Schizosaccharomyces pombe: one gene and its partner. The protein of the gene in region 2 interacts with the protein of the main gene of each other region in a pairwise test. Each region holds a gene or a part of one and is shown on either strand. Other genes may lie near its edges.

Evidence for each region. Proteins that work in one complex are often made in the same cells at the same time.
Region 1: the proteins of syp1 (region 2) and ede1 interact in a two-hybrid assay, tested with the Schizosaccharomyces pombe proteins (one large-scale study listed by BioGRID).

Annotation. Positions count from the first base shown.
Region 1 is NC_003423.3:268,020-275,999, forward strand, and holds ede1 (EPS15 repeat-containing family actin cortical patch component protein), read right to left. Parts: upstream 6,450-7,980; 5' UTR 6,319-6,449; coding exon 2,968-6,318; 3' UTR 2,429-2,967; downstream 1-2,428. Other genes in the region: sum2 (translation initiation inhibitor), read left to right, coding at 1-935; SPOM_SPBC800.14C (uncharacterized protein), read right to left, coding at 1,688-2,170; SPOM_SPBC800.11 (inosine-uridine-preferring nucleoside hydrolase), read left to right, coding at 7,888-7,980.
Region 2 is NC_003423.3:3,119,644-3,128,290, forward strand, and holds syp1 (cytoskeletal protein Syp1), read right to left. Parts: upstream 7,079-8,647; 5' UTR 7,059-7,078; coding exon 7,017-7,058; intron 6,976-7,016; coding exon 4,561-6,975; 3' UTR 4,359-4,560; downstream 1-4,358. Other genes in the region: alpha-1,3-galactosyltransferase Otg3, read right to left, coding at 1-714; alpha-1,3-galactosyltransferase Otg2, read right to left, coding at 1,643-2,761; tif306 (translation initiation factor eIF3f), read right to left, coding at 3,255-4,163; DNA-directed RNA polymerase I complex large subunit Nuc1, read left to right, coding at 8,256-8,647. UniProt on the Schizosaccharomyces pombe protein: Multi-functional protein that contributes to the endocytic process, but also to events that occur at the neck during cytokinesis.

The DNA.
Region 1 (7,980 bases), 2.9 Mb from region 2:
AGCCTGTTCAACCTAACCCTTATGGAGCTCCATACCAACAGGCTCCTCCAGCAGGTGCACCTTACTATATGTACCCGAATGCTCCCGCTCAATTTGTACCTCCTGGAGGTTTGCCTTTGGGTACTCCCTTAGACGCATCCACACCTGCGGTCCCGTATTATGGGGCACCTGATCAACAGCAAATGGGTCAACGTCCTGAGTTTGCTCAAAATGTTTCTCAAGGGTTTGCCGGTCAGGCCCCGTACAACGTACGTCCTGGATACGGAATGCCTTCAAACCAGAAGCCTCCCAACTTTGCTCCGGGCATGCCTGCTCCTGGTCCTACCGCGGTATCTGCATCTCCGTCTCTTCAATCCATGCCGCCCACGAATGGAGTGATACCAGGTGCACAGCCCTCCATTGAAGCATCTATTGAAAAAGAAAGTACTAGTATACGGAATTCCACTGTCACAAATGACCGTGTTGTGAATACTACTGTGGATGTCTCTCAATCCCAAACCGTTGAAACATCTGGACCTTCTAAAGAAGTTCCTACAACTCAACCTGATGCTAGTGCTGCAAAGCCTCGTACCGAATTTGACTTTCAAACTGCAAATCAAAAGTTTCAATCGATGAAAGATGATTTGTTAAAAGGAAAAAATGATGAAGAAGCCGAAGAATTTTACAAGCCTAAGCAATCTTTTTTTGATAATATTAGTTGTGAAAGTAAAGAGAAGGGTATGGAAGCTGCAGATAGAAGAGCTCTACGAGATCGCGAACGTTCTTTGAACATGGAGACATTTGGCGTTGCTGGCTCTGGAAATCGCGGCCGTCGTGGACGTGGTCGTGGACGTGGTGGTAGAGGTCGTGGACGTGGATATGCAAGAAATCAATATAACCAATACAGGAATTCCAATGGCTCTCAACCTAGAGCCCAGCCTGCAAACGACCAATGAACTGCATTTCTTATAATGAGTACAGATGAAGTATCCTCGTTTCTCTAGATTGAGCTTCGTCTTCGTTTCAATCATGATGAACTCAAAATTTATGGACATGTATTTAACGACCCGAAAAAAGGTGTTCTCTTATATAAACCAAAAGGATTAGTCGTTGTTATTTGATATTTAACTTAGGAGTTTTGTTAAGTTCTTGTAGAGTGCTTTAAAAACTATACTTATCTGCTCATGTATTACGCAAGAAGAACAAGCATTGAAACGATATCCTATACCGAGATTTCGTAAAGGTATTACGAATAAATGTTAATGGGTTACATATAATTACCAAAAGGTTGAAGACTTAACCAATCCGCTAATGTTTATTCTTTTATACACCTTGATAGACCCAAAGCATCGCTGGTTGCATGACTGAACATTGAACAACCCGTGTTTTTCAACAGTCGTTTCGTTTTTGAAAAGCGTTTTGTAAAAATTTGATTCAGTCGACTTGTTTGAAGCTGACAAACTATAGAATCCAAACAACAATGTTTGAGCAGTATGAACAATTTATAAGCGAATCGTTTTAAAAATAAAAATGTGCTCTCTTAATTTTAGCATTTTTTAATAGTTTAAATTTCACGAACTTAACTACGTGATATAGTGTTTTAATAATCAGCAGTAGAAAAATTAGAACTTAATATTATTTGATCATCAACGAATATCGGAACGCAAGAGTTAACACGTAAACGATACATTACAATTATGTTTTGTTATCAAAAGTAAATTGATCCAGCGATTGAAGCTAAACCAGAGAAAAACATAAATGCGCTTCGAAATAAGTTTTTAAAACCCCATCTGTGAATTATACTGCGGAAATTTTGAGTAGCCTTTACATCTTTAAGTATTAGATCTGGATTTAACGTTTGTAAAGAGTTAATGTCCTTTTTCATAAACAAAAGCGTGAAAGGAATAATACATAGTCCAGATAAAGCCGATATAGCATACAATTTTGAAGAGAATATACTTCTCTTCCGTTCCGAATAAGACAAATAGCCCTGAACCAGAGCATTGGCAATGGCTAAAAATGGGAAGCTCTTTTTGCCCATACTATATATGTATTTCCATTGAGCCAGAGCGACGTCTGCAGGACCGATTAAAATAGCAGGCAACACTTGACTGGTAATGTAAGCAATGGCTCCTGCACTTCCGCAAGGAGTAAGAATTCCGACAGATTGAAACAAATAGACAAGACTCATCGTGAATTAGTGAAATTGAGTGAAAATTGGTGTGGCTGAAGGTGTATGTTAAGTACAATGTATATTCCAACGTTTAATTTCCTCTACCAATTTATATGTAACTAAGAAACTGTTTATAGTAATATGCTACTATTGCCATAGTGGCCACCTGGGTATACAAGCAATATGAAATTAAGACTTTGATATTGATTTAACAGAAGCCTTTCTCATGATTTTATACCATCCTGAAATCCTACTAAAAGATACGGTATATCAGAGGCTGTTTTCTACGCTTTGGTTTAATAGCTTATACCCCGAAATGTGCTAAATTACCAGATTTATTTGGTAAGTATAAGAACTATTTACATGATTGCGAGGCTAAAGCATTGACAATGGTATGCTAGCCCAGCGGAGTACTACCCTAGAAGTATTTCAAGCGGTTGCGATTTCCAAATGTGTAATATCCTGTCTAACGATCCTTTGGAAACATGATTTAGCATATACCCACAACATGGAGCATATCCATCGTAACGTTTGACCTTTGTTAACAGCCGGGATTAATTTATCCGAATTTTTTTCTATACCCTATCTCTTAAACGATAGGTATGTTTCTCATCTCTGTAGCCCTTAACAGATATCGTTCAATTGTCCTACATAGATTAAACCAGTTAAACTTGATTTCCAACCATTATACGTTAACACTTTTTTATAAAATTTGTCAAGTCAAATCACAACTGACACCTTCATGTGGAAAAATACCAAAATGATCTCAGCAATAAAAGGATTAAGAAAAACGAGTGTTAAGCTTTATCGGCTACTTAATGATGCCCAGCATGTTCTTCTTCATCAGTAGAGCTATTGTCATCATCCTTTATTTCGGCTGCTTGAAGATTTGCGAATTGATTATCAAATTCATCATCGACGTTAAAAGCATCATTAGCCAGAGATCCTGAGACAACTTGTTGTACCGGTAACTCGTCGTCGTCGTTATCCGATTCGTTCGCTGTATCAAAATCAAAGGGTTGACTAACTTCGTTAGAATTGACAGTAACCTCAGTATTACTATTTGCTTCAAAAGCACCTGATGTAGTATCAAAGTACTGATTCTCAGTACTTGAGGGTATAGTCTCCGAATTAGGATGCTGTACATGAGTAGTCGTAGACATTTCTAATTGATGATTAGGATCAGGAAGCTCCGTAACTGCAGAGGTGTAATTCGTGACTGATCCAATTGAAATTTGAGGAGAAAGATTAGACATTGGGGGCTCCTCATCACTAGAACTTTCATCATCATCAATCTCATTAAACTGAATTGGTGGAAACTCATCTTGAATATGAGGTGTCGCTTGTTGTACAACTCCATCTTGCGCAGACCTATCGCGTCGAGAAGGAGGAACAGGAGGTTTCACAGGAGCAGGTGTACTAATTGTTTCAGTAGCAAACGGTGCACTAATAGGTTCAGTGGCTTGTTGTTTATTAGCAATTTCAAATGGTGTAGGTGCACTAGTGTTTTCAATAGGTTCCGCACTTGTATTCTCGACTGGCTCAGCTGTGTTTCTGGCAGATCCTGTTAACTTTGACAAGTCAGATAATACCGGGGATCCACGTTGTGAAGCAGAGGTTGATACATCCACAACACTGCTATCCTGATGTTGTGGCTCCTCCATATTTGACAACTGCACAGGTTCAGAGTCCAAGCTAGGATTAACACTTGAGTTATTAACGCTAAGAGATGTAGTCTTTGAAATGCTTCTAGGAAACACAGCCGAAGCAAATTCACTTTCCCAGAAATTTGAAACCGGTGAACTAGCTCCTGAGATTTTCAAGTTATGGAATGGATTTCGGGAAACAGTGGAAGCATGTGCTGATGAATTATTAGAGTTCAGGGATGGAGAACGGAGAGTATTATGCATTGCATCAAAAGAATTATGTTGAGTGGGCACCGAGGAAGTAGTATCAGGAAGGGTTGGCTTATCAGTGGTAATTCCATTGCTGGTAAAAGATGGGAAACGAGGTGTCGAATCCACTTCGGGTTTCGGAGCTTCTTCAGTCAGGTTAACGGATTTCAATCCATCTTCTAATTTGCTGAGTTCTTGCTTTTCAGCTTCCAATTGTTTAGAGTGTTCGTGATATTCTTCGGTTGCGGTAGCTAGTTGCGTTTTAGAGTTATTAATTTTGTACTCTAGGTCAAGTTTTCTTTGCGAAACAGCCTTACTCTCTTCGTCCAAACTAACCAGACGTTGAGTCATTTCATCCAATTGTAAATGCAACTGGGCGAGCGTCTGCTCTTTATCAGCAACCTCGGACTTAAGTTGTTGAATTGAAGCATTAGATGACTCTACCATATTCTTGGCCGCTTCAGATTCTGCAACGACTTGCTCTAAAACTTCACCCTTTTGTTTATTCTGTTTTTGCAATGCATTAAGCGTGGCTTCCAAAATTGAGTACTCCCGATTAACTTGCTCAGTTTGAGCTTTATTAGTTTCAATGTCCAAACTGATCTGCTTGGCTTTTGCTAGTTCCTCATCATAGGCCTTTCGTATTTCACTGACCTTGGCTTTGACATCGCTTAAGTTTGCGGCAACATCGCGAGATGACTTTTGTAAATCATCATTAGATTTCTTTACTTGGGATAATTGCGATTCTAACTTGGGTACCTCTGCAGCTAATTTTAGTTGTTCGGCAGACGCAACCTGAGGAATAGGGGCAGCAAGTTGTGAGGGAACAGAAGTTCGAACTGCTGAAGGTTTGTCCATGGTGTTTTTGGCAATCGTCTGCCCAAAACTGGATTGAGGAAAGAATGTTGATGTAGGGGAATTAGGTTTAGCAGCTGGAGAAGTGGGAAACCCTGGAGTATGGTTAAGTTGGAGAGGTGAAACAACAGGGAACGGTGCACTTTTAGTTACTGGGGGGGCTGAATGCTTTGTAGCATTCGAAGATGTATGTTGAGGAGCAAGGGTAGGAGAGAAAGGAGTAGCATCCAAGCTTAGTAAATCCTCAGTTCCTGAAGTTACTCGGGATGGGCCCGTAGGATTAGGAGCCAACGTAGGGTTGGGATTAGGAGACGAAATATTAGCAGGAACAACGGAAGGGATAGAAGTTGGCACGCTTTTGCTCTTTTGCATTAATGGAGCAACCGAAGAGAGCATAGAAGAAGGGAGCACTTTGGGTAGCTCTTTTCCGGATAATTTGAGCTTAATTAAATAAAGAGATATACAAAACTCACCAATGTTTAATTTACCGTTACTATTAGTGTCACTAAGGTCCCAAATTTGTGCTAAGACATCTTCAGGAAGTTTAGAAGCAAGGAAAAACGAATATGCCTCGCTACCAGAAACGTATCCTTTGTGCGCTTTATCAACGTTGGAAAACAACTGACAGAAGCTAGTCAAGTCTTGAGATGGAATGGCCCATGGATCTGAAACAGGGATGTTTGGAGCTTGCACAGGTGGACTTCGGCTGAGGCCGGGATACTGAGAGGGTGCAGAAACTGATGAGGTTGAAGCTGCGGAAGCGATAAATGATGGTGAAATAGAAACAGGAGGAGACTTTAAGGAACCGTTTAATAAAAGGTTGATTATATGCATACCGGTATTAAACTCGCGAATATCCAGAGCCCCGCGTTTATGAGTATCAACTAAATTCCAGACTCGCGCAAGAATTTCAGTACTAAGAGGTGCACGACCAAAGATTGAGCTAGCTCTGTCACCATCCATCAGACCGTCAGTTGGGCAGACTGTAGTAAACATTTGTTGATACCGTGTCATTTCATCTGAAGAAATAGGAGGTAAGAAAGAACCATCAGATCCATCACCAGAAGAAACGTTATTTGGTCGATTCAGCTGAACAAACTTTGAAGAATCAACGCCAGAGATATGGATATCGGCAAAATATGGAATTTTCCCCGATTTTTTGTAATCAAAAGGTAGCTTTTCTTGTGCGAGAGCCACCAACCTCATGGCAATTACAAAGCCAGAAAATGTAAGAAATCCTCGATTCTCAGCATCTGCGATTTGCCAAATTTGACCAAGGACTTGAGGAGCTAAGCCCGATTTTTCCAAAAACGGTACAGCTTCTTCTCCGGTGATAACGCCAATGTCTTGTTTATCTGCAATTTTAAACAGTTGGTCAAAAGCGGTTTGCTCTTCCGCAGACAAATTCAAAGACATCTCTACTATGCTCAATTTACGTTGTGGTTCAAGTATACTAAATCACTTGTTGAGCAAACTCAGAAATCACCTCCAAAAAAGAGAATTCGATTTACAATACGATCAAAATGTCAAAAAAGACACACTTGTTTGAATCAGGTGTAATTGAGAGGCTGCGATTATATGAGAGCATCCAAGGTAACCGAGATAAAGCAATCGACCCTGCTACCTTAAGCAGGAGTAGTAATTAAGGTAGTTAGCTATATGATACTCTATCACTAAACGCTTTTGCGTGGAAAACAGAGCGTTTAAATATGCTCATAATGATTTGCAATATCGCATTAGCTTTATATAACGATGGTTAACGGCATTGCGTTAATTGATCTATTCATTTCCGACAATTTTTTTGAACTAGTTTCGTGTAAGTAGGTCGTACATAAACGATATCTGAAATGTCTGTTCCTTTTGAAATAATTTACTGTTTTTATGTTTTGATTTTCACAACAGAATGATGCGTATGACAAAACAACACCTGGTTGCATAGTCAAGTTGAAGTGTAAATAAAGCTCAACTTTTTTAGAACTTATTCGGTATTATCAATTTTCGTTTCTTTTATTCGCTCTATAGTGTATTGCTTCGTCTTAAGATTGAACCTTTCCAATTACCGAGTTCATCACCTCTACATTTATTGTAAAAAAGTAATTGTACTGCAATCTCTGACAAGCCATCATGACATACTGACCTTTCAATTACATCCAAAATTCCCTTTAGCTTGTCTTTGTTTGCTTCTTAATGGATGATTTGATCTACAAAAGAAAACGAATCATTATTGGTAAATTAAATAAACATCAGCAGCATTCACGGAGCAATTAAGATACACACTGCCAACGTCAATTACAATAGATTAATGTCAATTGCCTTTCTTTAGAGTCTTTTTTTGTTTGCCAGTTATGAACAGTAGCTCACGGATTAGAAAGTTCAAAAATCAATTATTACGCTTTCTCTTGATGTATCTTAATTCTTCTGAGAGATTGCTTTTAGTCCAGTAAAGACATTTACATCACTGTAGTAAAACAAGTCAAATCACTTAAAAAACTAGTATCTGTCCTCTTCTTCGATATTTTTACCTGGTCGACGGCTGCTTAGTGCTAGACCGTGTTAAAACCGATTGTCTCATTTTCGATTAAACATAGTCTGGTATTATAGATCAGTTGATTAAAACATTTGTTAGCTTTCAAAGTAGATCGTTGAATTGAAGGATTTTACTCAACACCAAAAATCATACACCAAATTTTTTTATCCTCCTTTAGACAATGCTATTACCACAAAAGAACGGGATGAATGGGATCATTTGCTTCTAGACACTAAATTTAAGTAGCCGATAAAAGACGGCTTAACATCCGAGCTTTCGGATGTTCATTTTCACACGATGATTTTGGGTTATCTATTTATACCCAATTTGTATATCTGACATGTGCTTGTTTATCGGTTGGAAATATCTGTCTTTACAGATAATGTGTAGATCATGGTTACTATATATGACTTAGGAGGCTGGTCAATTTAATAGAACCTAGGAAGGAATAATAAAACATGCACTTTGCCAAACTTGGAGCAATTGGTCTTCTTGGAAGTATCATTTGTGCTTATGCCGCTAGTGCTGCTTCAAAGGTCATAATCGACAAT
Region 2 (8,647 bases):
AGGAGCACCATAGGCATCGAAATTGTCGCTAAACTGATAATCCTCTTCATCATCTGGCTTCTTAAAGATAGGAAAGCTAAACATATCGGGTTCTGCAGGAGATTCATAAACATAGGGAGTATCAAAAATGTCATCCATGTTTTTCAATACTAGGAGATCGCTATCCAGAATGCAGACCTTATCAAACTGTGTTTGCTCAAATACACTGAGTTTTGTGAACATGTATTGATAACGATAACTGCCCATGCCAATAGACAAACCACTTTCAATTAAGTCTTCAGTTTTAATTTGATCGACCATAATTATTTCGGCCCCATCAAGTCGCAATCGTTCAATTTTCCATTCATCAACCCCTTTCATAACAAGGACATGAACGGGATATTTACTTTTCGTTTCAGGATGATGTTTCAGCTTGTATACTAGTACTCGAGTAGCATTGAAGTATACATCATGTTCTGAAGTAGGAAGGGTAAGTAAGCCCATAAATGTATACCTTTTTAAATCATCTACATTATCGTTATAATATGGGCCATGCTTATGAAGCCCAAATTCATAGGCTGCCGATGAAATTAGCGATCCAGGAAATGCGGGATCCCGATATATTTGGATCCCTAAAAGTAAACCCAAATTCAGCAAAAGAATTAGTGAAATCAAGACAAATTTTGAGCGAAGTAGAAGCCTGGTATGTAAGCGTAACCGCTTAAAGAAATTCATATTCTATAAAGCAAATTTTATCGCTTTCCGCAACTTCGTTTATAGCTATAAAATCCCCACCAGAATAATAAAAACCCTAGGATTATAACTGACTATATCTCGTTAAGACTTGCTAGGTTTAATACAATAAATATAATGTAGTTTGTATTATTGAGTTTGGTAGTGGCTGACTACAATTTAGGAGACTAAAGGTACGATGTAATGCGTACGAAGTATAGTTTTTCATGTAAAATTTTAAGATTATTTGAGTTTACAGTACTTGTTATTTGACATTAAAAGGTTTAAAAAATTTATCAATTACTTGCTATTGATATTTTCTATCCCATCTTCACTCTATCTAAAACCAAGCCTTCTTTGATATATATATTTAAAACAACTTTTAAATAGATTTGCTACCTAAAACATTTTCAAATGTCTTATTGAAATCTAAAAATGAAAAACATGCTAAGGATACGTATGCTCACTAATTAGCAATTTTTATATAAATCCGTTGGTTTTCCTTTGGTCAAAGAAAAAGCATTTATAACATGTTTGCTTACAATTTTAAAATTGATGATAGGACTAACACTTGATTCTTTACACTAATTAGGAATTTTTTAAGAAGGAGCAAAATTTCTTGAAACCATTGAACTTTCAGTGAGTTTTAAACATACGTGATCTAATTTGCATACAGAGAGGAAGCTATTTTTTTGATTATGGTTTACCTGTATCCAGAATCCCATCGATCGTGTATATGAATTTGAATAGTATAGTGGTTTTAAAAAAGGACGGAGGAAACACAAATTATTTTAGAATGACTGTAAAAATGAGATAGCCTTTCAACAGTACGTGTTGTCAGCAATACATTAAATGAAAATAACTGCTTCTTAAAAGTCAAAAGCCGCCTTATTTTTTACTTGATCACGACATGAAAATTGCTTTCATCTGTTTAATATAAATCAGCATTACGTTGTTGGTCATGATACGTTTGCATTTCTTGAAACGCATCCCACCATAGCTTGGATGTGTCTTCATCATAACCTAGACTTCCTTCTGGTTGCCAATGTTTTCCATGAACTGCTTTTAGATATGGTAAGTCATTTTTTCTAGCCCAAAGTCCGTTAAAAGTCCAATCAAGTGACTCCCATGGAAAAGCACCTGCTGAATTGTATGCAAAATTTAGCAAACTTTGCTCCATCATGTTTGCATTATCATACAATTTTGGAAACCTTGCTAATGCCATTAACCTTTTATAATGTGCCTTCAATGGCTTAAAGACGAATAGACCAGCATTAAAATAATCTTTAAAAGGAGGAGGAGTTTCATGCCACATACCTGGATCGGACACAGCAGCGAAAACGTAGGGATAAAGATCGTCTCTTGTCAGCCCGTAAGCTGCAAACTCTTCTGTAAAGCGTCTCCAAAAAATGCTGCGCCTAGGCTTGTAGAATAGGGTGGGAGGAAACAGAACAGAATCCTTACTATAGGAGAGTTGGTGAACATCAAAAACTTTGTCCATTTTTTTAATAGGCAAAATATCACTATCAAGAAAACATATTCTATCATATTCGTACATTTCGAAAACTCTCAACTTGGTAAACATCATACTCCATCGGGAATCCAGTAGGGCAATGTCATTGACATCGTCAACCACTTCATGAGCATATAGTGGATCGACTACTTTAACAATAGCTCCGTCTTCCTGCAATTGATCAAGCTTCCACTGATCAATTCCCTTCATGGCTAGCACTACAACGGGATACTTGCTTTTCGTAGGTTTAAATTTGACAAGTCGGTGAACGAGAAGCCTAGTTGAATTATAATACCAATCCTGTTGCGTATTTTCTACTTCGTTTTCCCCATTAGCGGCGCGTACAGTAAGCATAGTTACAAATGCCATCTTAGAAGAGGGCGCCAACCCTGTCAGTGTGTAAACTGACCTTTGTATTTCTGGACTATGATTGTATAGCAAAACACATTGCCAACCTAATAAAATAATGCTCAAGGTAATCAGTAAACACAGTCCTAGTCGTTTGGGATGGCGAAAAGCACTAAAATATAAACGCATTTTAATGGCAATTGATTGCCAAATTATAAAATGGTGGTGCTTTCGGAGAGAATTACTCTACATACTCCCTTAATGTTTGTTGGTGCATCATACACATTTTGCTTACTTTCAATACCAAAACAAACTCAACACCCTGAAAAACAAATAACATAATTAAATCGACTTTATAACGTAAAAACATCAAATGTTTAAAAATTAAACAAGCTTACTATTTTAACTATAAGAAATGTTAAGATACATGACTCTGACTTAAAATTTTCTCTTATTTAATAAGACGTTTAACCTAAACCAATTATAGTATAATACTAAATAGTTACCGACAAGCTAAGCTACTCAAACTATGTCGAAATGGGTGAATGACGAGATAAAGACAGTTGCTTCCACTGAGGGTTAACAGCCAGTGTGAAAAAAGGATAAAATAACGGTGACTTGAAAAAAGGGCTATCGAACAACTGTTAGAAATTGTCCGGATTTTTTAGGTTATAACAATTGCTTAGGGAAGCAAATTAAGACGGGAAGCAATATCCACTTGAGTACGTAAGGTATTTGCGAGATAAACTACAACCAAAACATCTTGAAGATGTGATGAAAAAATTTTTTCAAAATCTTGGCCTTCTACGCAAGGAATTAAACTAAAGCACTTCATCAAATATCTACCGACAGCAACATTAGCAGGCGAAGAACCATCAATTACGTTTTGCACATAATCGGAAACTCTTTCAATCATAGATAAAAGCTCCAAGGTTGATCTTCGAAGTTGCTGGAGATCTGTGAATAGGCTAGCAAGTCTAGATGGGTCATTCTTAGGAGCAGCTACAGCTTTCAAACCAGAACGGACTGCCTCGTCATCACGAATGGTAAAAGGGGTAGGGACGAATGCACAGCTGTCAGCAAGGCGCTCTGTAATACCTACTGGTGAAGAAACGTAAGTCTTGATGGCAAGGGGACTGCTAACATCTGTGTTGACAGTAAGGTGAACACAGGGATGAGGATACGTTCCTAGTGGAGCAGTTCCGGGTTCAGCAGGAGAAGCATATAAATTTTGAATCAGTGCACTGAAAGCATCTAAATCAGGAGAAGTAGCATACCAACCAACGACAACTTCACGAGGGTTAGCCTTGAGGTGTAAATGGTACATCGCACGATGATATTCCATTTCAACTTCTACCTGCTCACTGCTCTCATTATGAGGAACTGCAAAACAACTTTTAATCTCAATTTCTCGGCCATCTTCAGAACGTGTTCCCAAAAGTGTACCGATAACACGTTGATTATTTTCACTTTTCCGGGTTGAATGGTCAAGGATAGAAAAAAGCACTGCTGGTTCAATGACAATGTTCAAAGGACTTGACCTGGAAGACGGTTTTGTGAGATGGAGTACGTGCTTAGTCCCCAAAGCCATTTTTTAAAATTTTCACGTTGTTGGCTACTCTCAGGTAGGTAGATCTGGTATTGTTCCCCAATCAATAATAATTTTACTGTACTAGTTTACAGTCTCATAGAATTCGTTAAATTGAAGACACTATTTTTCGCCTAACTTCTAAGGTTTACCATTTAAGAAAGTGTATTTTCAGTTGCGTTGAATAATCTAAAAAATCTCCTTAACAATGTCTCATTTGTACGTACAATAATGAGAAACTCTTTATTCAAAATTCTATAACTATTTACATTTGTACATTCTCTGGTTAAAAATCATTTATATATATATACAATGTTCAAAAAATTCGGTTAGCAAAAAAGTGTAAACATAAAACCCAAAAAAGCAGTTTGCTTTTTCTTGACTAATAATGAACAGTAATTTAACTCATATCAGCAAAAACAGAGCACTCACGAACATGAATACCATAGGAAGTAGGAACCTTCGTTTCTTCATAAGCACTTTCTAGCTGAGAACCTCCACTAGAAGAAGTAGTATCAAACATATCTGGTTTCAAAAACAATTTGGTGAGACCAGGGTTATTAGAGGAATCAACCATGCGAATACGGAACTCGATAACTGGCTTTCTAATAGCAGCACTAGGACTAATCGCAAACTTGGCTAAAATTTTAAATCCAGACGAAGATATATTAATGTTCGAAAGATGTAGCTTAAGTTTACTAGTTTTCCTGCTAAATTCTCCGGCCGGAGAACTTTGACAGCTTTTTACAAGGACATTTTCCCCCAAGTAAACGATGATAACAAGTTTTTCAATATGAAGAGATGAGCCTAAGTTCCTCCACACAGGATTAGGCTTCACAAATGCAATCATACTACTACTGCTTTCATCATGCTTCCATTTCTGAACAACTGTCAATGGAATGCAACTAGCACCGTTAATACTATCAAGATGTAGATTAAAATCAGTGACTTTGATTGGTGAGAGAAGTAGCTCTGGTATTAAAGAAAGTGTGTTTTCTGAGGGTCCATATTTTACTGCATGGTCATTTAAATGAGTAAAAGACATAGGAAATTCAGACGCAACGCGAACACCCATTTCAGGAGGAGGGGTATTAAAATCCGAGGTATATTTCATGAATATATGACCGGAACAGGAAGGATGAAGAAGGCCATCTTCAGATAATTCACCAGAATACTTTTCGACGATTGAAGCAGAAAGCCCGGAAGAATTTGGGAACTCAGGGTGCCATGTTGCAGTCGAGTCTGGTCCCGATTGTAATGATAAAGTAGACAAATTGGGCAAGCTACCGAGGTTTGATTCCATATAGTCAGACGATGCTGTAGCATAACGATCCATTGTCCCAGCACGACGGGTCCTTCTTGATATAGTGGGATTCTTTCGTAAAGTATTTGCTACCCTTTCAATTGCAGCATTGCTATCCTCGTTTTCAGTAGGCGCAGGGGAAGCCACCGCTGATGTGGGAGACGTTGTTGTTGATCGTGATTGCATGTTGTTAAAGTTCCCACCAAAATCATTGCCATGCATCATGATAGGATTCGAATGTGATGCATTCTCTCTATCGATCGATGAAGGGGTATTTCTTGAGGCTTCAGAGTGCACAGAATTGGGTTTATTAAAGGGGGAAGCCTTGGAGGAAATCTTAGGCGTAACCGTTTCTGCTTGAACATTAGGCTGCACAGGTAGCGGAGCCTCCAAAAAGGATGAGCGAACATTGTTTGCACGAATAGTGGCATCGTTGTCCTCGCCCTCGTCGGAAGTTTCATTAAAGTTTTGATAAGACGAAGCGTTATTATTAGTAGAGGGATGATCCCGAATTTGTGAAGAATGATTGGAATCATAATGTCTTCGTTCGATTGAACTATCATCTATATTCGATGGGTGTTCTTCAGCAGACGAAATACTCGAAGCTTTGGAGTTCTTATTAAAAAAAGCAGTTAATTTATTAGGGCGACCATTAGATTTATGCGAAGGCTTCTTATCCTTTTTAGGCATTATGGTTTTCCGACGAAACAACGTGGACATTTTGTTCTTCAATTTACCACCAGATTCATTTTCTCCATGACTCTTTTCCTCTTTAGATTTTCCATTGTTTATGTGAAAGCCCGATGACTTAGATGGTTTATTAGCAGATGCGGAAGACATAACTTTCGATGTGGAGTTCATGAATTGACGGATTTCACCTTCAATAGGTAGATCAGAATAAACTGCCATAGATTTAGAAAAAAATTCTTGCTGTTTAAGAGCCGTATCAGTTTCCAAACTTGCAATTGTCAGGTAAACTTGTTTCAATATAAGGAGGCGTTCCTCGTCAACAATTTGCAATTTTTCAAACGCTAAAGGAGCATCGGAATCCCAGGTTGCACGAGAAGCAGTGAGATCATTCTGACTCTTAGTATCCGCATCACGGCCTTTTTTTTTTAATCCCTTCAGACCAGGTACAGAAGACGATGCCATCTCCTCTGCAACTGTTGATAACCGCTCTGCTAAACGTCTAAGCGTAGCCGTTTGTGGTGAAGAAGTATAATAATCTATCAAAGGTTTATAAACTTGCGAAGCTATTTGTCCAATGATTTGACTGTGATATCTTGAAATTTCAAGGGTTTCTCCCTCGAGCTGTTTCCAAGCATAATTAAAAGCAAACGATGAATTGTTTTTTTCTTGCATGTTCATTGCAAGCTTATGTAATTGATCTGAGTATTGCCGTTCAATATCCATTCGCTCACGAATCCACTGCGAAAGCATGTCGTTGTCTAGGCGAACTTGCTCTAGGCGCTGTCGAAAGATCGACATGCTGTCGTTTGGAGAGTAGTTTGACTATTTGTTAATAAGAAGGAAATAGCTAAAATAAAGCTTACCAAAAACGCATCTACATACTCCGTTTTCGTCAATGATTCCATGGCGTGGTGGTGGTTAGTGTAGGGGGAATGCGACTCGATACATGACACTTTATTCCAAAATTGCAAAACAAATTGTTTATGGAGGATGATTAGTATTGCTATTAGATGGCTGTTATGAAGACATAAGAAAATATTTTTAATAAGGCAAAATTTTCATTTCTACATACATCAATATCGATGTTTCCGAAATATGCATAAATAAATTAATCGATTATTAACTAGTTAGCTGCTCAATACTATGGATTAGTCTCAAAAATATTTCAATTGAAAAGTGACCCAATATACCAACACATATTCGAACCGCTTAACGATTTCTCAAAAAACACAAGTTTTTGAATAAAAACATATAGGTAGTGAAATCTATTGAAACGTTCAATTTTTTTAAGCCTTCAACATACGCTAATTTCAAATCTGAGTTCTCACTACTATTATCGCACCTTTTTCTATTCTTTCGAAAACATACGTTTGAGCAGAGAAAAAGTCAGTAACAACTTCCATAGTATAAAAAAGAAGGAGATATGTTCAAAAATCAACAAAAAATATGAATAATTGTTCGTAAACCCATATTGTTACCATAGATGAATTTTACTAACTAGTGCTTATAAACGAAAGTTTTCTTTCGCTACTTAAGGTAAGTAAGCAGAAAACATTGAGAATGGCTTTAATTCAATTAAATTTAAAAATGAAGAGAGACCAAGATCAGAAATCCTAACACATGTTAGACTATTAAGGCACTTTATCTGAAGTGAAGTCTAATAAAATGTAAGCAACGAAAGTCAGTTGATTGATACCAACATTCCACTCGCATACAGTACGAATTCTCTAAATAACTCCAGTTTATTTTTATTACGACAATGAAACCATAATGCCATGGTTTAAGTGGTCAATATGTTAACCGTGTAACAATGAAAGTACATCGTAACGTGTTAGCATCAATAATCCGGTTTTTTCGGTTTGTTTATAAATTTACCGATGCGCTAAAATATCTAATTTGTAGTTTACCAAAAAATTTTACGTGTGTTATTGTATATAACGCGCTGTAAAATAAGTAATGAAGCTTCACAGCTATGCACATTGTAACGCATTTCACCGGACTTTAGCAAATTACAGTCTAAGGAAATTTTCTTTTCATACAGAACCAAATAGGTCTGTGGGCGGATTGCATGTGCCGGTTGTATACAAAAGCAAAATAGTACAATGAATATTGCACAGCCAGTCTCTTCGGAGATTAAAAGTGTGAAGTTTGGGATTTACGATGTTGACGATGTCGAAAAAATATCCGTCAAACAAATCGTAAATCCCGTTTTGCTTGACAATTTAAATCACCCTACTAACGGCGGATTATATGACCTTGCTTTGGGTCCATATCTAAAAAATTCTGTTTGCGCTACATGTCATTTGGATGAAAGATACTGCCCTGGTCATTTTGGTCATATAGTACTTCCTATTCCTGCATATCACCCTCTATTTTTTTCTCAAATGTACAATTTATTACGTTCAACTTGCTTGTACTGCCATCATTTCAAGCTTTCAAAAGTCAAGGTTCATCTTTTCTTTTGTAGACTCAAGTTGCTTGATTATGGTCTTTT